4 linked regions of the Danio rerio genome follow. The protein of the gene in region 2 interacts with the protein of the main gene of each other region in a pairwise test. Links are inferred from orthologs where the notes say so. Each region holds a gene or a part of one and is shown on either strand. Other genes may lie near its edges.

Region 1 (6,113 bases), on a different chromosome or scaffold from region 2:
TAAAAAATTATAGTTATAAAATAATTTAACCATAAAATGATTTACTGAACTGCATAATATAGATCTAATGATCAAGTAAATTCAAAGAATTTTGAATTATATGGTCTCTTAATATACTGCCAAAAAAATAAAGGGAACACTTGGAGTTGGATTGCATTGTTTAAGTGTTCCTGTTATTTATTTTTTTTATCTCCCTTGCCCCCCATTATTGAAGGTCTGAAAACGTGGGATATTTTGTATGGAACCATTGTAATATTTAGCAAAGTGGTCTTTTAATTTTCAAAAAACTTGCTTTGATTTGTTCCATTCGTGCTTTTCTCTTACAGATGGCCTTGACTATTGCCCATTTCACGTTGTTCTAGCAAGGCGGTTTGCCTCTATTCAAGTTCGCACTCTGAAAAGTACATTAGCAGAGACCGGATTCTTCACTCTCGCTACATTCTCAGAGAAATTGGTCTCTTAAGGGCATATGAGTCCTCGAAGTCACATGTTCGCCTGACCATTAATTTCGATCAAATTGAGAGGCAGCCATTAGTCATGCCTCCTTGGGAGCACATGATGAGAGAATCTTTGGCTTCTTTTTTGTTATGTAGGAGTCTCGTTTGCCTGGCAACAATTGGACGTGAGACTTATCCATGAATATTTTAGCTGTTAATGGCTTTCTACCATTTGAAATAAATGCTTCTGCTTACCAGCACCCCCCCGCAGGTTTCCAGTCTCCTGCTGGCAGCGGTTTAGAAACGTATCAGCCAGTGACGGCGGCTAATAAGCCCTGCCGTGTCTCATCAAATATGAATGACTGATATCTGCAATTAAAAAGGACTCTGTTTTGATGTCCACACGACAAGAGATTGAAGGTGCTTCTTTATTCCTCCCCATGTCAGAAATGAATCATTTTAGTGGGAGATTGCATGACAGATTTGATGGAAACAGATGGATACTAGTGTGTGGAGATGTCGGCTAATCCAAAGTGAGTCTAACCATATGTCTGCCTTTGCCTTTCTATGAAACAGCCGATTTAGACTGTAACTGAATTTAGCTGCTTGTCAAGAAGAGCTGTTTTTCAGAATTAGTCAGCGCACTGAATGTTTTGTTTGCTTGCAGAATTCACAGGGTGATGGATCTATTTTGAACTGATATTTTTTCCCACGGAGTTCTTGGCTCTGACTAACAGCAACTTGTAGGACTTTTCATCAATTTTCTTTGATTGACAGGTTTTGGAGCTTGTCTTCTTCTGAAGTGAATCAGATTGTTTATGAATCAGCACGCACATGCATGCTAAAATATCTGCGTTGGATGTATGTATGCCATGTGCTCTAAAAAAAAACACGATCAAACCCATTTAAATTTGGATCAATGCTGGAGGAAATTTAATTTTTAGGTCACATTTTGCTGCATAATATTGCAAACATTCAATTTAGGACACAGTATCGCTCTTACAAGCAGACCTCACTGCACATAATAAAAAAATTTAATAAATAAATAAATGTAGCTCTATTTATACAGCCCACTGTCATTTCTCAGCATACACTCCACAGTTCACAGACAGTGTAGATCGTCAACAGTGTTTCGAATAACTTACAATGCAGCTTTATTGTGCGAGAACATTCACAGACTCAAAAGATTACAACCTGTTGATCACTACATGTGTTCACATTACCAGAAATCACAAAACTTGCTCACAAATGTAAAGACCATCACACTCAGCCTTTAGATTTCACAGTTCTCTGCAATCATATCAAGTACAAACCGTGGATCTTCCTGTAAAGACAATTGTAAACAGATGACGACTACATACACAAACCAAACAAAGCCCCACAGTACAGTACAGTCTCTCTCCTTTCTCTCTTGGTCCGTTGGAGTGTGTCACGTAGAAGCAGGTTAGCAGAGTAATCCAGAACAGGTTTTCGGTAGAGGACGCTGGTGTTGGTTGACGCGAGATGGTTTTCAGCGGGTCATGTGTTTAGTGGTGACAGTTCCTCTAGTGGGGTCACTTGACAAAATGCAGAGCCTCGCACTGGACCACTGATCCTCGACTGCTGTCCAGGCTGGTGATCAGACGAAAGCCTCCCTTGAGAGCCAGCATCACCGTCTCCAGCTTCAGACACTCTAGTGTACACAAAAACGTGCTGTCCTGCTTCAGCACAAGCCGAGAGCCCTGCTCCGACTTGATGAAATGTCGAAACTGGATGATGTTGGATGACACTTCGAACTCCTCTGGAAAGCCGTCCAGGCGACTCTTCGAGATCTGTACCAGCCGGTTCTTGACCTTCTCGATGAAGGTGTTGTCGCTGCAGTAGACTCTCAGACCCTGTGAGCGCTCGTGGCTGTCCGTCACCTCCAGGAAGGCAGGTTCGCGCTGTGTGGCCTGCTGCTGCTCCCAGTCCTGCAGGGCTTGGGCTAGTTCGCTCAAGCGGTAGAAGTTGGCTTCTCTGCGGAGAAGTTCGGTTTCCTTGAAGTCTTCGGGCAGCACTAACTCGCCCAAGCGCAAGAAGTTTAATATGTGACGGAAGATAGGGCCGTCCCGGTCAATGAAAGTGTTGCCCATGGAGTCCACGTGCAGCACTGGCTTTTTCCCAGTCACCATTTCTTCCAGCAGGGAGCCGGGGTGTTTGGCAAGGGTGTGCCTCTGGGCTGCGTACAGGTACCCCCCCACGTTGATGGTGATGGTGCCAGAGGAGGGTTTCTTAAAGCTCTTGCTGGGCTGCAGCAGGTCCGGATTGATCTGTCTCAGTTCGCTCTCCATCCTTCTGAGGTTCCATTCCATTCCGTTCCTCACACCCAGCCTGGTGGAGTGTGTGGGGAGCGTGCGCGTGAGCGGACGCCTGGACAAATAGGAGCGCAGCTGAGCGGCGCTGGCATGGAGCGCAGGAGCAGTGTGCGCTGCCAACGCTGTCTGAGCCTTTCACAGCCACGCAAACACATATATGTGTGTGCGCATACACTCGCGCGGTGGGAGGAGGGGTGTTAAGGGTGGGCTCTACTGCGTCAGTGCTGTGGGCTCGGAAAGAGCGAGAGCTTTGCTCACTGCCCTCCGCACTAAAGGCTGAATTTAATCACCTTTCCACTTCAGCTCCTCTCTGGCTCTGGCTCGGCAATTAGCGTCGCTGCCCTGTGATGAAAGGAGTCCTCGGTTGGGTGGCGGCACGTGAACTCACCGAGAGGGCCAAATCACAGGGATCCCACATAATGAACTGCCTCCAATGAAAGTGCGAGAGGAGCGAGATGTTAATGCTTTCACGTCTATCGTGTTAAGTCGTTGCTGTGTGATGTGCCGACAACTGGCAGCTTTATCGTCAAACGAGAGACGTATCCAGTACAGTGTAGGTGTAGTTATGTAAATGATTTGTTTGTCTTCATATCAAAAGAGATGAATGCATTGAAGGTTTCTCTCTTTCTTTCAGAGGCTGGGTTTTTGCTTTAAGGTAATCGCCATGACCCAGTTATCGGTGGAGCCTTTGATAAGAAAGCCTGTGTCTTGACTGGAAGCCATGGGGGCTGAACCCGTAATTGGCCCCAAGCTGTCTTTAAGGGTGTTGTACATCTAACAAAGGAGTGCAGGGCTGTGTCAATGTATAAACCACCCAGGGATGAGAACCCAAAATCAATATCCTTATATATAATCCCGTCTTAACATGAGTTTTCAGTAGCAAAGATCCCAAGCTCTCGTCTGTCTGAGAGAAGACATGCCCTTAAACTGCAGCAGCATCAGTGTGACTTTTTTTTTTTTTTTGATGTCCCCGACTAATGACAGCCTGTCAATCATTACAGAATGACGACACCGCTATTGTAGCCCAAGGATAGGAAGATGGACTTTTCTGAGACGAAATTTGTGCCATGTACGTCATTAGCATCTGAGACAGGGTGGAGGCTAAATCATTATCCGAGTGCTGGTGTCAGTTTGAGCTTTACATATTTATTAGATATCTTAAATTGGATTTTAACAAAGGCTTGTCATGTATTTCAAAATGTAACATCATTTACATTTTACACAAAATTCGCCACCTTTTTTTTGATGAACCTCCATTGAAAAGCTGGCATTTTGGTTTATTAAATCACTTTTACCTGCTATGCCAATTGTTTTGGTCAAATTGTTACAGCTAACAATGTTTTAAGAAAGAAAACTGTTAAATTACCGAAGCAAATTACTTCATTACCTTGTTTTTTACAATATATTGCAACACTAAAAGTCGTTAGAGCAGAGATCAAGGTCCACAATGGAGTCTAAAGTGTAAAAAAGATATGTTGTTTATTTAAGCTCTCACAACCTTTAATCCAGGTATATTGATTATTTTAAGTTGAACAAATATCACCATACTTACCACATTAATTGCATTTACTGTATTAAGAGTTTTAAACATAGTTTTTGCAAAAGGTGTTTGAATATGTATACATAAAGTGTTGTCTGATTAAATATGCACTAATTTACATATAGTTCCAGAACAGAAACATGAATATTTGATGAAGTCAAGTTTAAATATTGTTGAATGCTTTTGACATGTTTAAATGTTGTTGACATTGAAAGGTTTTACTTTTGTTAGCTCCATAAATCAGAAAATACTGTCAACAGCCAAACTACTGCCAAAAAGCACCATGTTTTTACAAGATATCTTTATAAAAATCTTCAAAAATAGATATGCATTGCCATTAACACTTTTAGGATCAAACATAATGTGATAAAATGTACATTTATAACTATATTTTGGATGCTTTTACCAACAATTCTGAAAGAAGCCATAAAACAACAATGTCTTTCTCTAATGTCTCACCTTAAAAAATGGAGCATCATTCATATTTAGTTTTAGCCATGTTATGATGTCACAAATAGCACATCCATGTAAGCCCTGGCATCACTGGCACACATTTTGCTTCGCTTTTTTAAACTATGCCACCCATGCACATAGCCATCTGATTACAGATGCAGTGACAGTTCATTATGGTCATATATGACTGATTATAGTTGTTATAGACGATGGCTTGGTCATGGTTTAATCATCATGTGATTACTGGGTTTATTCATCTGCATTTGAATTGCAAACCGGGTTTAACTATGCCAGAGAAATAGTGGGTGGCTGACCTGCTTTTTCTCATCTATCTTTTTGTTTTAATTAGTGCACTTGTTTGTTTCAATTTGAAGAGGACCAAATTGATTTCAATTCATTGGTGGCTGATTGGTACAAGCAAGAGCACTTGGATAAGAGATATTCTAGTTAATTTGTGCAGAAGAACATGACGTCTTGAGAAGCACATGAACAAAGTGTAGCATATGTTGTTTTTGGTGGCTAGATTAATAATCAAATATGCATATTTATCAAACCACACTGGGCAAAAGGATGTTTGGATACTGAAATCATCATTACAGTACAAAATAGGAAAAAAGAGTGGTATTTTGAAGGATAGTTAAAACTAAAGTAAAATAAAAGGGGTATATGATTGTAAATTGAACATTTGTTCCCACAATTTATTCATTGATGGCTTTGATTTGACAGTTTGTTAAAATCATGACAACGTGGTACAAACTCTTTTTTTCTTTTTTTAGTTAAATCATGATTGTTAGTATGACCAATATTTAATCACTTCAGCAAAGTTTGGTATATCTTATTATTAATATTTTAGATAAATATAGTAATTTGTGTGCTTTACAAATATTTACAATACTGTATGTTCATTTACTAAATGCCCCAAAAAACATGACACATTTGTGTTTAAATCAATAGCACAACTTAATGATGTGAATAAAGTGCAACTATTTTTAAATAGCTTTTATTTCCATAATTCAAATACAGCGGCAACATTGCATATATCATTTTGAATAAAAGTATTTAGAAATTCTGTGAATTATTTTTTAATGAGGCAAAGAAAATACAAATTAATCTGTCAGAAAATAGCAGTTAGTACATGGAGCAATAAAATAAAGACAATTTTTGGTTAAATTACTGAACTACTGGTACCAGAAACAGGTTCAAGAAACTATCAATGCAGGAAGAACAACCTTCATGCCACATTTTCTGTACGGTATGGTACAGGTCGGTATGGTTCACCTTTAATAGGTTTGCAAAGGGTACCCAAAAAGTGGTACGGTACAGTTTGCTTTTAGGTACCTTTTGACAGTC
Region 2 (6,238 bases):
CAAACTTAATACTGTATTGTCATGTACAAAACATACAGTAAATATAAATATTTTCTCCTGTAAATATTATAAAAAATAAATAACAAGTCTAGTATATCCAGATGCATCAGAATACTGTATCTACTAGCTAACAATATTTATATATTATACTATATACTATACTGCACCTGTCTCATCTGCATCTGAGCTAACTTACTTCAACTGTATCCATCACTGCTCTTATCAAATGCCTAATCTGCATCATTCTCATGGCCACTAAAACCCGTCTCATCCTCACTTTCATCTGCAGGAAGAGTCAGTTCTGTCCTTTACTTGTTTCACTTGCCATAGAACATAATACACTGTTCCCTGTGTTCATATCTATTCAAAAGCAGTATTGCCATTAAAACTAGATTTTGTGCATATTGCAAATGTCATTAACATACAACTAATCAACATTATATTACTAGCTTTCATGTTGTTATTGTTACTTAAACATTCACAGCTGACCTTGCTAGCTAGCTAACCAATTGCAATACTTCACATTCCACTACTGCACAGTGTTGCCATTTGGCAACATACACATTTGATCAATTTACAAAAATTAATTTGATTAAAAAACATTTGAGTTGTGAATATATCATCATAACTTACTGGAGGTGATGTCTCAGATTTTTTGTGGATCTGACATAATTTGATCCTTGGTTTTTATTGATGTTTTCAATTGCATTCAGCAACTGCTCACAATAAACACCAGACTGTCAGAAATCGCACCAAAGAAAAACACTGCATGTCATGTGACTTAATTATAGCACATCATTGGCTAAGCTAAGGTCTTCTCTTTCCAAAAAAAAAATAAAAAATCAATGTTGGTCTTAGAGAAACAGTGGCAGGGAAATTAACCTAAATATCATGTTGCCATATGGCAACACCATGCGTCAGAGGGTTAAATACAATTTAATTTATGTAATTAGGAATTAATGACTTTTTTAAGTAAGATACCCAACACTGAGAAAAAAAGTATGTTTACTTCATAGTCATAACCAGTTGTATTGTAAGAACATTTTAACATCGCATGCTGCACTCTATTGTGCAGAGATCTGTCATTAATATACAGTTGAAGTCAGAACTATTAGTGAAATTAGAATTATTATTAAAAATTAGATTTTTTTTATTTTTTCAAATATTTCCCAAATGATGTTTAACAGAGAAAGGAAATTTTCACAGTGTGTCTGATAATATTTTTTCTTCTGGAGAAAGTTTTATTTGTTTTATTTTGGCTAGAACAAAAGCAGTTTTTAATTTTTCAAAAGATATTTTAGGGACAAAATTATTAGCCTCTTTTAAGCTATATATTTTTCCAATAGTCTACAGAACAAACCATCGTTATACAATAACTTGCCTATTTACCCTAACCTGCCTAGTTAACCTAATTAACCTAGTTAAGCCTTTGAATGTGACTTCAAACTGTATAGAAGTGTCTTGAAAAACATGTAGTCAAATATTATTAACTGTCATCATGACAAAGATATAATAAATCAGTTATTAGAAATAAGTTTTTAAAACTATCATGCTTAAAAATGTGTTGAAATAATCTTCTTTCCATTAAACAGAAATTGGGGAAAAAGTTAAACAGGGGGACGAATTCAGGAGGGCTAATAATTCTGACTTCAACTGTATATATATATATATATATATATATATATATATATATATATATATATATATATATATATATATATATATATATGCCTTCTAAATTATTGAGAGAACCAATCAAATTCAAGTAAAGCGATGCTGCTCACACGGTACGATTTCAGCCACAAATTGTTCGTCTGAGAAAAAATTAGTAGAAAAAAAAGTGTATTTCTGGCAGATTCAGAAGAATTTAAGCTACAATTGTTTTGGATTATTTAAAGTCACACAGTGTGAGCCGGGCTTAAGTTTACACAGTACAAGGGAAGATTTAAAGGGACAGTTCACCTATTAAATGAATATCCTGTCATCGTTTACTAATCTTCCACTTGTTCCAAAATCTAAGTTGAACACAAAGGGAGGTAAATTATTAACACTGAGGTCAGTAAATTATGGGGTATTTTTCATTTTTGGGTGAACTGTTCCTTTAATTGAGAAGAGCTGTGACATATCTGACCCTCTTGATGTCCTGCTGTGTTCTGGTGTCCACAGTGAAGGGTTTGATGGGGATGTCGGGATGATGGTGTTGATAGTATTTGTGTGTGAAGTCATCACAGTCGTACAGCAGGAATCGTCTCCCCATCAGGTTAACCTCCTCGCCGACCCTGAAGTCTTGAGGACAGAAATACTCCTTCACGTCATGAGGAGAAACTTCCAGAACGCAGCTGGGGAACGGCTCTGAGTGCAGAAAGGCATACAGTTATATATAACGTTAATATATTGATGTGAACTAGACCAAAGTCTTCAAAGGTTTCAAAATGTATATTAATTAATAATATTGTAAAAACTGCTTATAAGACAAGGTAATTGCAACTTTTGCTTGACCTAGATTCCAACATATAAAGAAATTTCAAATAAAATATCTAATACAATTTTAGATATGTATTTTGTTTTCTTGCGTGTCATGACCATTAACCATCGTCTGGGATCGTGAATATTTAAAGCTTTTGTTAAATTTAGGTATTTAAAATCTGCAGTGTTACTTTGTGTTTTTTTTTCAGTGAAACAAAAATGTGAGTGCTGTTCTAAAAATGTAGAATAGTAAGTGGTTCATTCGGCTGTGGCAACCTCTGATATACACGTGACAAAGCTGAAGGAAAAGAAATAAATGAGTAATATCTTTTAAAAAACCTTCGAACTGCAGCAGGTGCGTTTAAGGTAATCCTGTGTGTGTGTGTGTGTGTGTTTGTCTCACCGCAGGTTGGTTTGATGTGTTTGGGGATCTTCTGTCGGCGGAGCAGCACTGGAAATGGGTCCCGGCCGCTGTTTGCCTCGTGATGTTCACAGATCTCCACGGAGTCGTCAACCAGATAATAATGTAGAGTTACAGGCCGTTTCTCCCCATAGAGAGAGTCTGAGTCGTCCCAGAGCGCAAAGAAGCGCAGCACCTGGAGAATACATGTAAGTGAGCACACACAGCAGTATGTACAGCTTATTGTTGAGCAGAACTACAGCAAACTGGCGAGTATTACATATTCATTCATTCATTCACTCACTCGCTCATTCATTCATTCATTTATTAATTCATTCATTCACTCACTTATTATTTCATTCATTTAATCACTCATTCATTCATTCTTTCACTCATTAATTAATTCATTCATTTACTCACTCATTTATTAATTAATTCATTCACTCATTATTTAATTCATTCATTCATTCATTCTTTTTCTTTCTTTCTTTCTTTCTTTCTTTCTTTCTTTCTTTCACTTGTTAGTTCATTCATTCATTCATTCATTCTTTCTTTCTTTCAATTGTTAGTTCATTCATTCTTTCTTTCTTTCTTTCTTTTACTTGTTAATTCATTCATTCATTCATTCATTCACTCACTGATTCATTCATTCATTCTTTCTTTCTTTCTTTCTTTCTTATCACTTGTTCATTAATTCATTTATTCATTCATTCACTCACTCACTCACTCATTCAGTCATTCATTCATTCACTCATTAATTAATTAATTCATTTACTCATTAATTAGTTTCATAATTCATTAATTCAATATTTAACTAATTATTTAATTGATTAATTAATTCATTTATTGTTCCTGACTAAACTATTTTTGTCCAATGTTTATAGTCATTGGCGACCCTTGCTAACTGGATAAATTAGTGTAGGCTTTTATATCAAATATATTATATTTATATCAATGTTTTGTTAAATGTTAATTATTTCATTATTTATAAAACTTTTTGTGTTGTTTTGAATATATTCTCTATTTTTAAGTTGAAGTTATTTTGTGTTTTTTATTCATTTATTTTCTTTTCGGCTTATTCCCTTTATTAATCTGGGGCTGCCGCAGAACCACCAATTTATTCAGCATATATTTACACAGCGGATGCCCTTTCAGCCGCAACACATCACTGGGAAACATCCACACACACTCATTCACACACACATACACTACCAACAACTTAAGTTACCCAATTCACCTATAACACGTTTTTGGACTTGTGGGGGAAACCGGAGCACCCAGAACAATCACCTCACAGCAAGAAGGTCACTGGTTCGAGCCCCGGCTGGGTCAGTTGGCGTCTCTGTGTGGAGTTTGCATGTTCTTCCTGTGGTCGCGTGGGTTTCCTCCGGGTGCTCCGGTTTCCCCCACAGTCCAAACACATGCGGTACAGGCTAATTGGGTAAGCTAAATTGAATGAGTGTGTGTGGATGTTTCACAAAGATAGGTTGTGGCTGGAAGGGCGTCCGCTGCGGAAAAACATGCTGAATAAGTTGGTGGTTCATTCCGCTGTGGCGACTCCAGATCAATAAAGGGACTAAGCCGAAAAGAAAATGAATGAACCACTGAATGACTATGAAATAAATAATATAATATAATTTAAAATAATATAATATCAAATAATATAATATAACACTTCTGAGCATTAAAAAAAGCTTTTGTTTTTATTTATTAGTAAATATTAAGTCTTGTCAATAAAATGTGTTGCAGTTAGTCTACTAACAGGAGGAAATTATAAAACATAAAATTGAGCTGAAAGCATGAGAAATAAACCAATAAAAACAACAGCAAATATACAAATATACTTTACAAACCAGTTTTTTTAAGCGTTTACCTGTCGATCCAGAGCAAGGAATCGCTCCAGCTGATGGTTGTGGTCATAGGGTGTGATGTGGGTTTGTTGGTTGTGAGCACGGCGGGCAGTGTACGGGTCACTGGGAATGGACTCAAATTCATTCAGTACAATTCCCTGACTCTCCATGAAGTCCTACACACACAAACATACATATTTGTTTTTGTGAATTGTGGAGATATTGTATTGGTTTCCATTGTATTTATACTGTACAAAATGTATACACACAATCTTGTACAGCTATCTTTATGGGGACTTCCCATAGACATAATGATGTTTATACTATAAAGACTGTACTGTATATTTGATTCCTTTACCCCAATCCTACCCCCAAACCCGACCATTACAGGAAACAATCTGCATTTTTACATTTTAAAAATACTTAATTCTGTCTAATTTATGAGCTTTTTTTGTCATGGGGACCAAACAAAATTGACTGGTATTTGCTCCCCACAACATGAGAAACACAAGGTAGACACACACACACACACACACACACACACACACACACACACACACACACACACACACACACACACACACACACACACACATATTTATTCAGACCAAACTCATCAGACATATCACACCAGCAGACTCGTTGTCTTTGTACCTGTGTGAAGGGGTCGCAGTGTGTGATCCTGTAAACCTCTCCAAACAAGTTGATGTCCATCCCCACGTTCAGGTCCTTCCAGTGGTACAGATCTCCACGTGGGTTTTTGCTCAGTCTCTGCCGCTTGATCAGTTTTCCCTGAGGGATTCCAGAGTTTTCCACCGGCGGCTCGGTCACACAGATGCTGTCATCCTCCAGGTGATAGTAAAACACCACTGGACGAATGCGGAAGTGCTCATCCCAAGAGTGAAGCACTTCCTGACGGAAATAACCATAGAAACGCAACACCTGCAGAGGTCAGAGGGGAAAGGTGAGATGGAGAGATGGACAGACGGACAGACAGAAGTATAGACAAGACTAGATAAAACAATAGATGGATGGATGGAGAAAACTACAGAAAGAACGATCGATAGATAGATAGATAGATAGATAGATAGATAGATAGATAGATAGATGGATGGATGGATGGATGGATGGATGGATGGATGGATGGATGGATGGATGGATGGATGGATGGATGGATGGATGGATGGATGGATGGATGGATGGATGGATGGATGGATGGATGGATGGATGGATAGAGAAAACTGCAGAAAGAACGATAGATCGATAGATAGATAGATAGATAGATAGATAGATAGATAGATAGATAGATAGATAGATAGATAGATAGATGGATGGATGGATGGATGGATGGATGGATGGATGGATGGATGGATGGATGGATGGATGGATGGATGGATGGATGGATGGATGGATGGATGGAGAAAACTACAGAAAGAACGATAGATAGAACGATAGATAGAACGATAGATAGAACAATAGATAGATAGATAGATAGATAGATAGATAGATAGATAGATAGATA
Region 3 (6,810 bases), on a different chromosome or scaffold from region 2:
GAACAAATATTCACTTACAGAGATGTTCAACTTTATAAACTAAAATGGCACAATAACAGTCTTTATACCAAAAGTGATCGCAAGCTGTAGTTTCTTCTTTTCTTCCCTCTGGACAGCAACATATTCCTGCAAGGCTTGAAATGTTTTGCTGTACACTGTATACCTACAATGAGCAGAAAATGTATCATGGTTAGGCATGGGCCGGTATAGGATTCTGACGGTATGATAACCTTCTATAATCATTTCATGATTTCTCTGTATTTGGATTACAGCTCTAAAATATATTCTTTTTAAATGTTTGGGGAAAAACTTTTTTCCACTTTGGACGTAAAATACATTTCATTTTGAGAAACGTTTATAATATTTTGGGGCAGTAAACACGTTAGGGTTAATAACTTAACAACTAATAAATAAATCGTTGACTTTTGCTGGCTTAATTCATTTCAAACACACAGATTTCTTTACATATTAAAACAGCCTTTTTGGATATCTTTTCTGCTGAAGAAACTGTTGTACAAAAAAAACAAACAAACAAAAAAAATCTTACAAACACTGTAGGAATGGTATAACAAAACAATTTGGTAGTTTTGAAACCTTGACTTTTCTAAACCACAATATACCTTGAAAATGGTTATCATCCTTTGTCTATTTATGGTTTACACAAAACATCAAGCAGCTGTTTCTGAACACCGAAACAGCTTATTGACTGACTTCTGAAGTCATGCTAAAGACTGAAGAAATGGTTGCTAAATTTTCAGGTTTGGCATAACAGGATAAAAACAATAATATGTTTGAGCTACATTTTAAACTGTAATAATATTTTACAATATTACTGATTTTCTCATCAACCTTTGTGGCAGTAGCAAACTCAACTTACGCATAATGGCAGTCGGCCCTTATATTGAGAGTCCATTCCTTTCTTGAATGCCACCATTCATCTTTCCAAGACCTGAAGACCTTCTTCAGGATGACCTTACAATAATGAGATCTGAAAGAAAGTACAAATTTAATACAGGGTTTCTGCAGGTTTAACCAAGTCAAATTTAGGACCATCTAGAATGAAACTTTAGACTTATATAAGGCTAAATGCTAAGGCTGTTTTATAATGGCCCAGCAATAAAAAAATACTTGTCCTATCAGAAAAACTAATTCTAATTAGTTATTTCTTAGCAACATATTTTAATTATAAAAAAATACTTAAAATGATTACTTATCATTTTAAAAGGTCTGCTTGTCTCAAAACAAGCAGACCTTTATTTTTTTCAACATAACATAAATTAAAACTTTGCTAAACTAAATGTATGTGCAACATAATATTAGCTAGAAATAGAGTTTTGTTAAAAGTTTTATTTATATCTATTGTGTCCATTGTGCATAAACAAAGGACAATTAAGACCCATTTAAAATAACCCTGACCAGTCAGACAATATTTCAATGAATTTAAAACTTTAGGCCTAAAATTTAGTTTCTGTAATTTAAGACATTTTAAGACTCCACTGACAGCCTGTGATAAAATGAATAAAGAGACTCATAAATCACATTAGTAACGTTACTTTACCACTGCAGTAGTGCTTTTTGTACTTATAAAGTATTAATTAAACTCGTCAGACCTGGCTTGTGATGTTGTTTTTCGTCCAAATGTCCTCCTAATCCACAAGAAAAGGAACTTTCGAGCAAGGTGCCTAAAACAATAAAAACAAATGTCAGTTCTTGTCACATTACATCTTAGTTTGCAAATTAAAGATAAAACTCGTGATTTCCCACCGTATCCTCAGCTCTTTAAGTCTACCACCTCGGTTCCAAGTATATCCGACCCGGTAAGTGTTTTTGCGTGTTACTGTCTTCCGTGCCCGGTTCTTTTCAACAGCACACGACAGCTGTTTCCCAGCGTGTGGTCTTGTCGTTTGCATTTTAAACGCTGTAACGTTACTTTAGACACATAACCTTTAGTCCATCGCCGCGCAATCTTCCTGCAGGTAACGTAACCTGAACTATAATTAAAGTAAAGATAAAGTCATTTAAGTTTTCACTTAACGGCTAAGACATGTTGTAGCTCGGTAAATAGGTGTCATCATTCTGACAACTAGTATCAACAACAAAACATAACTGCCGCTCTTCTGAGTTAAAAGAACATTCTTCCGGTAAACAATGTCAAAATAAAAGTTTTTTCAAAGGCCTCATTAAAAATAACAGTTTAAAAATGTAGGTTAAATTATTAAACGTATGTTTAAAAATTCTGTTGTATGATGTAAAAATACAATTTTACTTTTTAAAATGTAATAATTTTATTTCAAAATAATGTGTTATTAATATTAATAGCATTACTATTATTCCTATTATCGATGCAGACTTTATAAAGAGCAATTGATATTTTACTTATGCCTTTGAACATGTATAAAACGTCATGCCTTTGAACATGTATAAAACGCTTTTAACTAAATATAATCTCTTCATAAAAAGCTCTTAGTTTTGCTCAAAATCCTGTAAACCAACCAACAAAAACAAACTCAACCTGAATAAAAAAAACTTAACTGAGCGTGTTAGATCCTGTCACGTGACTACAATTTATAAAGGGTGGCCGCGTTGAATGCCTGAAACATATTCGTGTTCAAAATTCTTTAACGCCTCTTGTAAACAGCGTTGTATAAAATACACACTTCTAACCTCATAATTTCACATTCTGTATTGTAACATTTGAAATCTTCATCAAAAATAAGACCTAGTTTCGTAAAACTTTAGAGAAGGCGTGATTAGAAGCTATATAATCCTTGATTGGGGCCTTTCTCAGAACCAGTCAGAGATCTGAAGAAATTCGCCGCTCTGCGACTGAACAGAGACGAAAGAGAGAGCTCTGAGAAAGTACCCCGAGGTACATTGATGGTAGAAGCCGGAATACAAGCTTTAATTAAGTCGTCGAACCAAAATTTCCGCCCGATTTATTCCTAATATACGTGAGCTTTAATTTACTAGCGCGCTTTAGACCTGCGCTGTTCAGATTTATGAGTGTGGATAAGTTTCCTAGCCCGCTAACCTGGCTCACTAGCCTATAAATAAACAAACAAACACGGCGTTTTTCCATGTTTATCGCTCCCACGAAAAAACCCAAAGGAGAAATAAACCAAAGGTACAATTAAAGTCTGGACAAATAGTCGTTCGTCTGTAAGAACCTAAATAAATCCTCGGCGTCGGCTTGATAAGTGTAGCCAGTTTGCTAATGAGATGCTCCTCTCTGTCAATTAACGATTCCACCTGGAGTGACAAGCGATATCTGAACCCCCTTCAACACCGTCGATAGAGAAACTTTATTTTTATGCAGGAAACTTCATCCGCGTCCTTTCTGAATTCTGGACTGACTCCGGCATTTCTTGTAGTTTGGTATAAGACAGGTAGCCAGAAGCTAGCTAACTGAGGTAACCCGGCGGGGACAGAGAAGGTGCTGTGACACCGTTTCAAATATCAGGTGAGTTGATAAATGTGCTGACCAACACTTATTTTTTAGAATATTTTAGTTATTCATAGATTGAAAGTTTAGATTCGTGCTTTAGCATCTGGCTGGTTAGGCTTTTTGCAGTTTGTTTGCAGTCTGCCTCGTCATTTGCTAATACAGCAGCTTCTCATATTACACACGAGCCAGACATTTACATCATATTAAATCGCTACACCTTATATCCGTCTTAATGGATTCAAGTTCAATTTTATTTGAAGTCTTCGCTGACTGAGGAGTTTTTATACTTGCTAAGATGCTTGTTTGTATAATCACGCTCAGTTACTCACTGGTTTTAATCTAGATAACTTGGTTGTTATAAAGAGGATAGTTCAGTCAGAAATGTTAATTTGCTTTTAATGTCATTAAAATGTAGGAGATTTATTTGTTGTTGAACTGTTTTTTTCTTATTGTAAGTTTTATTTTTTATTTTTTAAATTGTAATGTACCTGTATCTAGAGCTGTGCGATTTTGAGGAAAATATCCAATTGCAATTGTTTTGATATATTGTGATTTAATTTGAGATTTTAATTTTGTAGTCAAGCTTAAGCTCAATCTGCATCAAAGCTCCTTACTGCTAAAATGCAGTGTGTTAGATAAAGAACTCGATAGTTATTAACTTACTCCAACATTTATTCAAATTAGTTTTTAAATATTCAGTAATTAAACTCATTTTTTTCTAGAGTAGGGGTGCCTAAACATTATTCTTATGAACGGCCAAAAATCAAAGTTGATTGAGGCGAATGGGTCGAAGGCAAATATAGGTGGGGTAATTTCATCAATTTTCTTTTTGACTTATTCCCTTTATTAATTTGGAGTCGCCACAGTGTAATGAACCGCCAACTTATCCAGCGTATGTTTACCCAATTCACCTGTACCATAAGTCTTTGGACATGTTGGGGAAACCGGAGCACCCAGATGAAACCCATGCAAACACAGGGAGAACATGCAAACTCCACACAGAAATGCCAACTGACCCAGCCGGGGCTCAAACCAGTGACCTTGCTGTGTGGGTAGACGATTGTGCTACCCACTGTGCTGCCCATAGGGTTATTTACCACGGGTAATTTTCTATTTCATTTAATAATGCTTAAAACTGACTAGAAAACATTGCTTTCAATTAACTAATACAGCATTTAAAAAAAAAAATTTATTACAGTAAAAACAAAACAATGTATAACAAATTTACACTAGTTTATGCCTAGATTTTCCTGCCTATGTCTTCTACATAGTCCTTTATCCGTTGAGTGACAGTATTTACATTTATTTTTTTCATTCTGATTAATTTGCATTTAATTGAAACATTTCATTTCTGTTTGCTTTTTTTTTTGCTCAGCAATATAACAAACCAAAAAAAAGGTTACATCAAATAAAAAATGACGCTCTCTAAAACCGTAAGACGTTCACACCAACCCTCTTCAACATACTTGCTCTCCTCTCAGATGGGATGATAGGCCAAATCAAAGGTTACAATGGGCCAACTTTGGCCCGCGGGGCCAACTTTGGTCAACTCTGCTCTAGAGCAAACAGTAAGCACAAATAAAATTACCTTACCTTTTTGTAAACAAGTTCAACTCAGATTAGGGAAATAATGTATCTTAAACAAATGTTTAAAAAAATATAAAATTTTATAATTCTAAAAATACAGAACACTCAGCATACTAACACGACAGATATAAGACGGATTGAAAGGTTCTGATTGGGCAGAATGAAAGCATGCTCTCTCGATTGGCTAGTAAGACTTTCATACACAGATGGCAGTCACACATTTTCTCTGGGTGGGGGAAATTAAATGAATGCATATATTCCCTATCACTGCCTCTTGCGATTTAGCTAATTGTAACTTTTCAAATTGCGATTCAATTTTGATTAATTGCACAGGCCTACCTGGAACTGTTGTCCCTGGTGATAAATAAAATGCATGTTAGCAGCTTATGATAATTTGAGAGGTAAAAAAAAAAAAACATGATATCAGAACCAGAATAATGATCAACTTGTATAGATTACAAATACAAATTCTTTAAGCTTTATATAACTTAACCATTGCATAAGCACAATTACCCTTCAAGTATGAGTATAACTCCTTACCTAAGATAATAAATTAAGGATTTTGCATACATGCAGCGTTCAGAAGCAACTTTACAAAGAAAAAAAAAAACAAGTCTTGAATTGTAATTATCGGCCGATTCGGATCTCCAACCAATTGATTGGAGCATCCCTAATAGAAATATCACTAAATACTAAAAATATATTTTAATGTTCTACTGGTGAAAAAGTCCCCTTCATATTGAATGGCCTAAGGATGAATAAATAAACCGTATATTGTTTTTTTGGAGTGAATGGGGTATATGCACATAGACTTTACATTTATGTCAGCCTCTCTTTTTATGGTTTTATAACCAAATGGATGCATTTCAAATATAATCAGGTAAATAGATTAAAGCATTACAACATCGCTGCTGTAAAAAGAACCTCATGAAATTGAAAATAGTCACAAATTTTTCACCGGAAGTACATCATTGGCTGGAAAACACTAGCTGTGCATATAACCCATTATACCTTTAAAAGATGTTGTAGTTGTTTAAGATCTTTCCAAATAATGTTGCAGTACATTGATGCAGCAGTTAAACTAACACTACAGTATCTGACAGGTGCCTAGAGCGTCTGGTATTTGGGCTTCTCTTCAGTTTGACCAGCCACCACAGTCATGGAGAAGGACGAAAATGGTGAAAACTTGGTGGACCCAATTAAGGACTCCGTAATGACCTCTGCCTATAGGTATACCAAGGTGAGAACAGTCCTTTAAAGCAACAATCACATGAGGAGCAAATTTGCCCTCGTGTTTTGATGATCTAGTTCAACTTACTTTGATCAGCATTAACTTTCGTAACATTTTACAGTTTAAAATCTACTACGCAATTAAGGATGATGTAATCATGCATGGCTTTGAATTTGGCTTCAATTAAACCAAATTAGAAACCTATTTTCTTTAATGTCTTGTACATGCAAGTGAAAAAGGTGTGATACTGATAAATGCACTGTGGTGACTTGCTTTTCTGCAATCGTTATGTATTAGCTGTTGACAATACAAGTTTTCAAAAGCAAGATTAACCAGCCTAATTTTTTTGAGCCCTACATGCATCCTACAAAACTGTCAGTTTCATTGGCATTATGACTCTGTTACAAGGTTAAAAAAAAAAAATTTATTACAAGAGTACACTGTCATTACTTCAGACATCCTTGTCAATTCAAATGCAACCAGCACAATAAAGCCTGATTTATACTTCTGCGTCAAACACCGGCGTATGCTACGGCGCTGACGCATA
Region 4 (6,772 bases), on a different chromosome or scaffold from region 2:
TAGAATTTATTTTTTTTCATTTATGGATGTAAAATTTATCCAGAAAAAGCATTAAATAAATAATAAATTTACAACGAGACGGGCTGGGTTCAGAGAGTAACCAAGTTTTAAATAGTATTGGAAAAGTCAACCCAAAACACCCTACAGTAAGTACACTACCAAAATGTGAAAAATAATTATGGGTACTTATCAATATTCCACCACACAATAGCATTATATATTTATTTATTATATGCAATTTTTTCTTGTTCCGCCAATATTGTCTGTTTTTTTCAATGAATTCATACATACATTGACAGCCATGCTCAAAAAAGCATCCGCAGACTTGGAGTTTTTACAATCGAGCCATGTTCTCCCAGTTTTACTGGCCATCTGAGAAACAAACAAGTAAGATTTCAGTCAAATATGCAAGGAGCATGCACAAGGGATGGAAATAAACAAATGTACTGTGCATATGCATGAACCACTTTATTACTGACTTCTGTGTGAATGTCAAATTAGTACAAGCTAATAAACAAGACTGCTGGAAATAATTTTTCACTAACCAGTATTTGCTTGCGCACGATACTCTCTGATGGGTTCTCAGGCCCGCATGAATACAGAAGTCTGCATGCCACATGACGCACTAAAACAAATTTGTAGAGTATTAAATAATTAAATAATTGACATCTATGTAAACATCTGGGATACACTTTAACATTTTTATTTGTTTGTATTCAAGGATATTAACTATATCTCTGTCAGTGATAGAAAACAAAGATTGATTGGCACCCAAAAACTGTAATACAGGGGTTTACAACTGTTTAGATGCCATGAACCTATCCTAAAATGCTAAATGCATCTAAGGTTTCTTGTGTAAAAGTCACAAATTGTACTGTAAAATGTTGCTATAAATGTCCAAAATATTATTAATTATATAGCTCTATTGCATTAGCACATTTTATAATATATTAACTATATACACATTTATATAATTATTTATTTTTAACAACATATTAACAAAATCTGCATCTATTAATTGACATTTTGCATAATTAATTGATTAAATTTAATAATGTTTATACTAAAATTATTGTACTATCGTTAAATTATGTTTTTTTTTTTTTTTTACAATTGTTTGTCTTCTTTATACTAGTAGAAGCCAATATTCTCGACACCAGTGGTGCTCAACCCTGTTCCTGGATATCGACCTTCCTGCAAAGTTCAGCTCCAACCCTGATCAAACACACTTGAACCAATTAATTAGGACCTGAACAGCACTTGATAATTACAGGCAGGTGTATTTCATATGGGTTGCAACTGAAATCTGCAGGGAGGTCGAACTTCAGGAACAGGGTTGGTCACACCTGCTCTACACTTACCAATTTTTACAGACTGTTCAAAAGTGGAAAGGAGCGTAGCTGCAGTAATGGTGGCTGAACATCGTTATGAAATTAGTCTGCCAAAAGAATGCTCAATATTCATAGCTGAAGCCTGTGCTTTACTTTTACTTGGAATATATAGAAAATGTCCAACAAAAGAATAATTTTTCAGACTCCAAATCATGCCTCCAAGTGACGGAATCTTCAAAAAATGATCATCCTTTCATTGATAATGTTTAACTAAAGTTCACCATCTACAAAACCAGTTTTGTCATACCATTTTTTATTGGGTTCCAGGACATCTTGTACTTTCAGGAAATGAGTGAGCTGATGTGGCTGCTAAGGATGCTTTGAAACAAGTGGTGAACAAATGCCAGAGATGAGACATTTTATCAATGTTTACATTTTAAATAAGTGGCAAGAGGAGTGGGATGCATTGGAAAATAACAAATTGTATGAAATACAACCTAAAATCTCACGCAAAGTTTTAAGACATTTTAAAACTAGACTTGGTTAAACACTAAACATCTTATTTAATTTATGTACAAATTTTTGTTCATATTTGATTGGATACTTGTAACTGAAATGTTCTTGCCATGACAATAGCTTTAATTGGTGACATGGCATTAAATTAAAATATATACTGGATTTAGTGATTCAGGGGCCCTAAGCAATTCTGGGTATGGGGCCCTAGCACTGAAACTCAAAACATTCTCTTATACATTTTTTTTCTCTGTAGATTATTATTATTGTAAATAAACAGCATGTTAAAGTATTTAAATAAATAAATATATATAAAAAGTATATAAAAAAGTATATTTTCTATATTTTTATATTTACTGGAAGCTTTTTCTTTTTTATTTAAAATTAAATGTAATACATTCACAAATAAAAAAAAAAAACAAGTAATTTGCAACTATTTAAACTAAATGAGCCATTTTGGTGAAAAGATTTTGATATAAGTAAATAAAAAAGTTTTAACAAATTTAATTCACGATCATTTAAGTTAACTGAATAATTGCTGTTTGTGAATCGGCAGCCGTTCATTTTCACTGAGCAATGTTATTTTATTTGAACAGACTCTATACACAGATTTTACAACATATGATTTAAAAAATGTATAAACGAGATATATGATTAATATAGGCTTCTTGGCATTGGTCAGGGACCCATAATTCCCTGGGGCCCTAGGCGGCTGCTAACTTTGATTATTGATTAAGTCCGCTCCTGCTAGTATGTTCATTTGTGCGTCCATAAAAGGCTAATTTAAACATGTTTAAAATTGTATTAACTACATTGACCAATTATTTTAATTTATTAAACATTTCTACATTTCCCAGACTACAGATTGAAACCCCCAACAGTATTAAATAGATACTTAATACAGGCAAGTAAAATCATTATTAATTATAATTATTAGGCCTAATTAATACATGTATTATTATTTAAAAAAAAATCTAATTTATATTAAAGTTAATAAAACAAAAGACTAATACAAGGACAGACCTTTGGCCTTCTGCTCTTCTGTAATTGAGGTGCCAACACGTTTGGTGACAGCCCAGTTCCACAACTGGATGGCGATTTCCTCCAGCTACAAAAACAACTAAATTATTAAATATTGAACCACAATTACCTGATTTCTGTGTAAGATGTTAACTTAAAATACGAAATAATATATATTTATGTCGAGAACAAAATAAAGACGTCATGTCTTCAAAACACAACGCTACAAGATCCCTGGGGGCTTCCGTAGATTTCAAAAGAAGTGTATTTTCCACACCTGTGAATCCTGTAGTTTTGCAGCTTCATCTAGAGTTAAAATCTCCTTGAAGAGGGAATCAATCACTTCATCCAAGTCTGAATGGCTCTGTCTGTGGAGGAGTTTCTCTGACAGGTCTGTGAAAGGAACGTCAAACCACGAAATATCTTCACATAACCTGTTAAATTACTTACAAAAGGTAAGTTGAAACTGTTATTTGTCATTATATTAATATCACTTAAAATATGTAAGATAAATAATTGTTTTGTAAAAAAACACAATAGCTCATCTCATAGTAAATACACAATAGCGTATCTTTTATACATTGAATTGACTGGTACCACATATCTTTCTTTTACCGCAAACGTACCTTTTACTTCGACAGCAAACTGCTCCATATTATATTTTGTGTATCTAAAAAATCTGAAGTAATTTTAAAAGGTTGTATTTTGTATGAAGTTTCTGTGTGACTGGAAAAAAACCAACGCTGCCCCTCGCGACCGCTCCCCGCCAAAACACGCACGAGGACGCGCTTCAGCCGGAGTGTAATACCGCTGAGTGACCGCAAGGTGGTGTCTCACACACGGTTTTTAACTTGCTGTTACTCATCATGTCTCCCTAAAATATTTCATTCAGGTTCACACAATTTATTTGGCGTGGTGAAGCCAAGATTAATAATCCAGCCTCATTAATATTAACAACTACAATCATTTTGCTATTTGGACATCACTCATATGCTATAAAATTGCATGTGTCTGTATATAATAACTGCTATTTGATTGTAACTTAAGTAACTGAGGTTTACTTAATTAAAGTAATGCAATTATGTGATTGTAATGCAAAAATGTGCATCTTTTGTAAAGCTGCATTGAAACAATAATTACTGTAAAAAGCTCTGTACAAATAAACTTAAATTTAATATTTAGTTACATTATAGCGCACAATTTCCACTATATTAAATGCACTTTTATTATAAATAGTAATAGAATATAAAAATGAAATATAAAAGCCTCAGAAACAAGCGCTCTAAATAATATTTTAAGATAAATGGAGAACTAGGCCTGCTCTTTTGATATTCAGAATTTCCGTGTTGAAAGGTCTGGCCCATTACATAGTATAATAGCATTGTTTAAACATAATATTCATCACCTTCTGCTAGTTAAAACCTCATTCACCCCAAAGAAAGTATGTGCTGATAACGCTGAGCTTTTTGTTTTAACAGGGGAGGTCATTGTTGAGCTGAAGGAAAGAGCTCAAGCTGCGTACACAGAATGGTTTGTGAAGTCTCTTATTGTGTTCACGGCACTAGATTCAAAAATAAGATGTCTTAAAAGCCCACTCCTCTGCATGCTCGGCTTCCAGCAATTGTTTCTGCCTGAGTCTTATCTAGCCACCGTACTGGTCTGAGGGAAATGTGATCAGTTCAGAGGGCTTGATTGCACAGGAGAACGAAAAAAACAAACATGATCCTTGTGACATGCGGTCAGAGAGATGGACACAAGATTTCCTAAAGTCTGCAACATAAATAATATTAAAATAATAATAAACAGGCGTATTTATACATCTGTGCCAGGTTTAAAAATATTTCATCTCACAGTTAGACTTGGGTATGAAAGGTCAATGCTAGGCCGAATATTGTGTATTCGAGAAATATCTCTGTAAAACATCTGCTGCCAAACCTGAAGACATAACCTGAAATGTATTGTCTATAAATGCTTTGGGAAAAAAAGAAAAAGGTAAAAAATGACTAGCTTTTATTTTACAAGAATTTATCTCTTAATCTTTCTAATTCAAAAACTAAATGTTGCAATTTACTGCATAATACACTTTACATGGTGGCTTTTATCAGCATTTAAATCTGCATTTAAATCTGTTAACATTAAATACCAATGAACATCTGTAATCTAAAATTATATACTTCAATGAAAAAAAATCAGGGATCAATTACTTTGGATTGCATTCCTAGTTAACAAATTCAATGCATTTTTTTCAACACATCCCATTATTTCTAAAATATCAGCCACTACCAAATGGTTGATATGGTAAAAGTAACAGAATTAATACATATACTATGAAAAATCAGAAAATATAAAGTGTAAGACCTATTTATTTAAAAACCTAATAAAAATAAATCCTTTAAATTATTAATTCATTCATTTTCTTGTTGGCTTAGTCCCTTTATTAATCTAGGTTCGCCACAGCGGAATGAACCGCCAACTTATCCAGCACATTTTTACGCAGCGGATGCCCTTCCAGATGCAACCCATCTCTGGGAAACATCCACAAACACTCATTCACACACACTCAGACACTATGGACAATTTAGCCAACCCAATTCACCTGTACCGCATGTCTTTGGATTGTGGGGGAAACCGTAGCACCCGGAGTAAACCCACGCGAATGCAGGGAGAACATGCAAACTCCACACAAAAACGCCAACTGAGCCGAGAATCGAACCAGCGACCCAGCAACCTTCTTGTTGTGAGGCAACAGCACTATCTACTGCACCACTGCTTCGCCCACATTTAAATTAGTTATTTATTTATTTTAAACATTTATTTAAAGATTTGCAATGACAGAACAGTGGTATAAGTGTCTCATTTCATCATATACAATAATATAACTATTTATTATACTTTCGTCCATCGGGTAGTAATTCAAGTCTTTTGTGAAGGGTAAAATGAACAAAATAATAATAAAAATAGTCTTTCAAGATACATTCTCCAAACTTCTCATAGAGGGTTTCAGATATACCAGAAATCATATCTAATCATAAGACTTAAGTCCTAAGTCAGTTTTTCTAAGGGTAAGAAAATGGCAATCTGATTTATCCACATATTGATGGAAGGAATGTTAGGAGAGGACAATAAATTATTTTACAATAAAAATATTTTAGTCACCAAACATATTTAGACATTGAAAGGTAATGCAATTAAATTCAAAACAATTTCAACTAAAATTGAAAAAAAAATGCTTCTTTTGATTTTTCCTCTTTTAAATATGTATTTAATATTTTTCTATAACATATAAATTGTGGTGTACTAGTTTTTGGGCCGTTATTGTCGGTTACTTTGTTAGATAAACTCCAGATTTGGCTTCACTACTTACTAATCTAATGTGTATGCACAAATATAATATTGTATAGCTTCACTTAAAAAATATTAATTCAAAAGATTGATTTGTGAGGGGTGCACTCATATATGCTGAGCACTGTGTAGATAAAAGGATATGAATGGACAATGCATTGCTGTACGTTGCGGGGAGCATATCCACGTTTGTAGCATCAAAAAGACAAACAGTCTGTGGTGCATCCACACACCATGGGGTGCTGGAAGGTGAAAGAAGCCCCATGATTATTTACTCTGATATAAAATTAGCTGCACATCCTGTTTCTGAAGTAAAAAAAAAACTGTAAATATTTTTCCAGTGTATTTTGAATGCTATGTAATCAGACAATGCAACGTTGCACCTTGATTTAAAAAAATTGTGATGCAAAAATTTACTAAGAAATATTTCATATTAATTTTCTGTTAATTAAACACTAACACAATAAGCCTGATTTCTTGCTAGAAGTGTGATTCTAAAGTGATCGTAGTTATATTGTCCAGATATTAAGTCTATAATAAACAAGACAAAAGAAGACACTTTTAAA

Evidence for each region. The genes of interacting proteins can lie anywhere in the genome.
Region 1: the proteins of efhc1 (region 2) and kctd4 interact in binary tests that used the Homo sapiens proteins (3 or more experiments, as listed by UniProt). The two-hybrid records come from large-scale screens. The link is inferred for Danio rerio from reciprocal best matches to the Homo sapiens genes EFHC1 and KCTD4.
Region 3: the proteins of efhc1 (region 2) and eif4enif1 interact in binary tests that used the Homo sapiens proteins (3 or more experiments, as listed by UniProt). The two-hybrid records come from large-scale screens. The link is inferred for Danio rerio from reciprocal best matches to the Homo sapiens genes EFHC1 and EIF4ENIF1.
Region 4: the proteins of efhc1 (region 2) and tex11 interact in binary tests that used the Homo sapiens proteins (3 or more experiments, as listed by UniProt). The two-hybrid records come from large-scale screens. The link is inferred for Danio rerio from reciprocal best matches to the Homo sapiens genes EFHC1 and TEX11.

The regions. Positions count from the first base shown.
Region 1 is NC_133184.1:20,477,973-20,484,085, forward strand, and holds kctd4 (BTB/POZ domain-containing protein KCTD4), read right to left. Parts: upstream 2,904-6,113; 5' UTR 2,768-2,903; coding exon 1,991-2,767; 3' UTR 1,342-1,990; downstream 1-1,341.
Region 2 is NC_133195.1:51,339,301-51,345,538, forward strand, and holds part of efhc1 (EF-hand domain-containing protein 1), read right to left. Parts: intron 5,659-6,238; coding exon 5,371-5,658; intron 4,893-5,370; coding exon 4,740-4,892; intron 3,063-4,739; coding exon 2,870-3,062; intron 2,353-2,869; coding exon 2,132-2,352; intron 1-2,131. UniProt on the Homo sapiens protein: Microtubule inner protein (MIP) part of the dynein-decorated doublet microtubules (DMTs) in cilia axoneme, which is required for motile cilia beating.
Region 3 is NC_133181.1:43,476,407-43,483,216, forward strand, and holds the start of eif4enif1 (eukaryotic translation initiation factor 4E transporter), read left to right. Parts: upstream 1-3,169; 5' UTR 3,170-3,460; intron 3,461-6,135; 5' UTR 6,136-6,191; coding exon 6,192-6,272; intron 6,273-6,810. Other genes in the region: protein SFI1 homolog, read right to left, coding at 69-163, 878-988, 1,611-1,682, 1,765-1,910. UniProt on the Homo sapiens protein: EIF4E-binding protein that regulates translation and stability of mRNAs in processing bodies (P-bodies). Plays a key role in P-bodies to coordinate the storage of translationally inactive mRNAs in the cytoplasm and prevent their degradation.
Region 4 is NC_133189.1:37,593,748-37,600,519, reverse strand, and holds the start of tex11 (testis-expressed protein 11), read right to left. Parts: upstream 3,642-6,772; 5' UTR 3,519-3,641; coding exon 3,491-3,518; intron 3,320-3,490; exon of another isoform or gene 3,258-3,319; coding exon 3,142-3,257; exon of another isoform or gene 3,087-3,141; intron 2,953-3,086; coding exon 2,868-2,952; intron 626-2,867; coding exon 546-625; intron 373-545; coding exon 292-372; intron 1-291. UniProt on the Homo sapiens protein: Regulator of crossing-over during meiosis. Involved in initiation and/or maintenance of chromosome synapsis and formation of crossovers.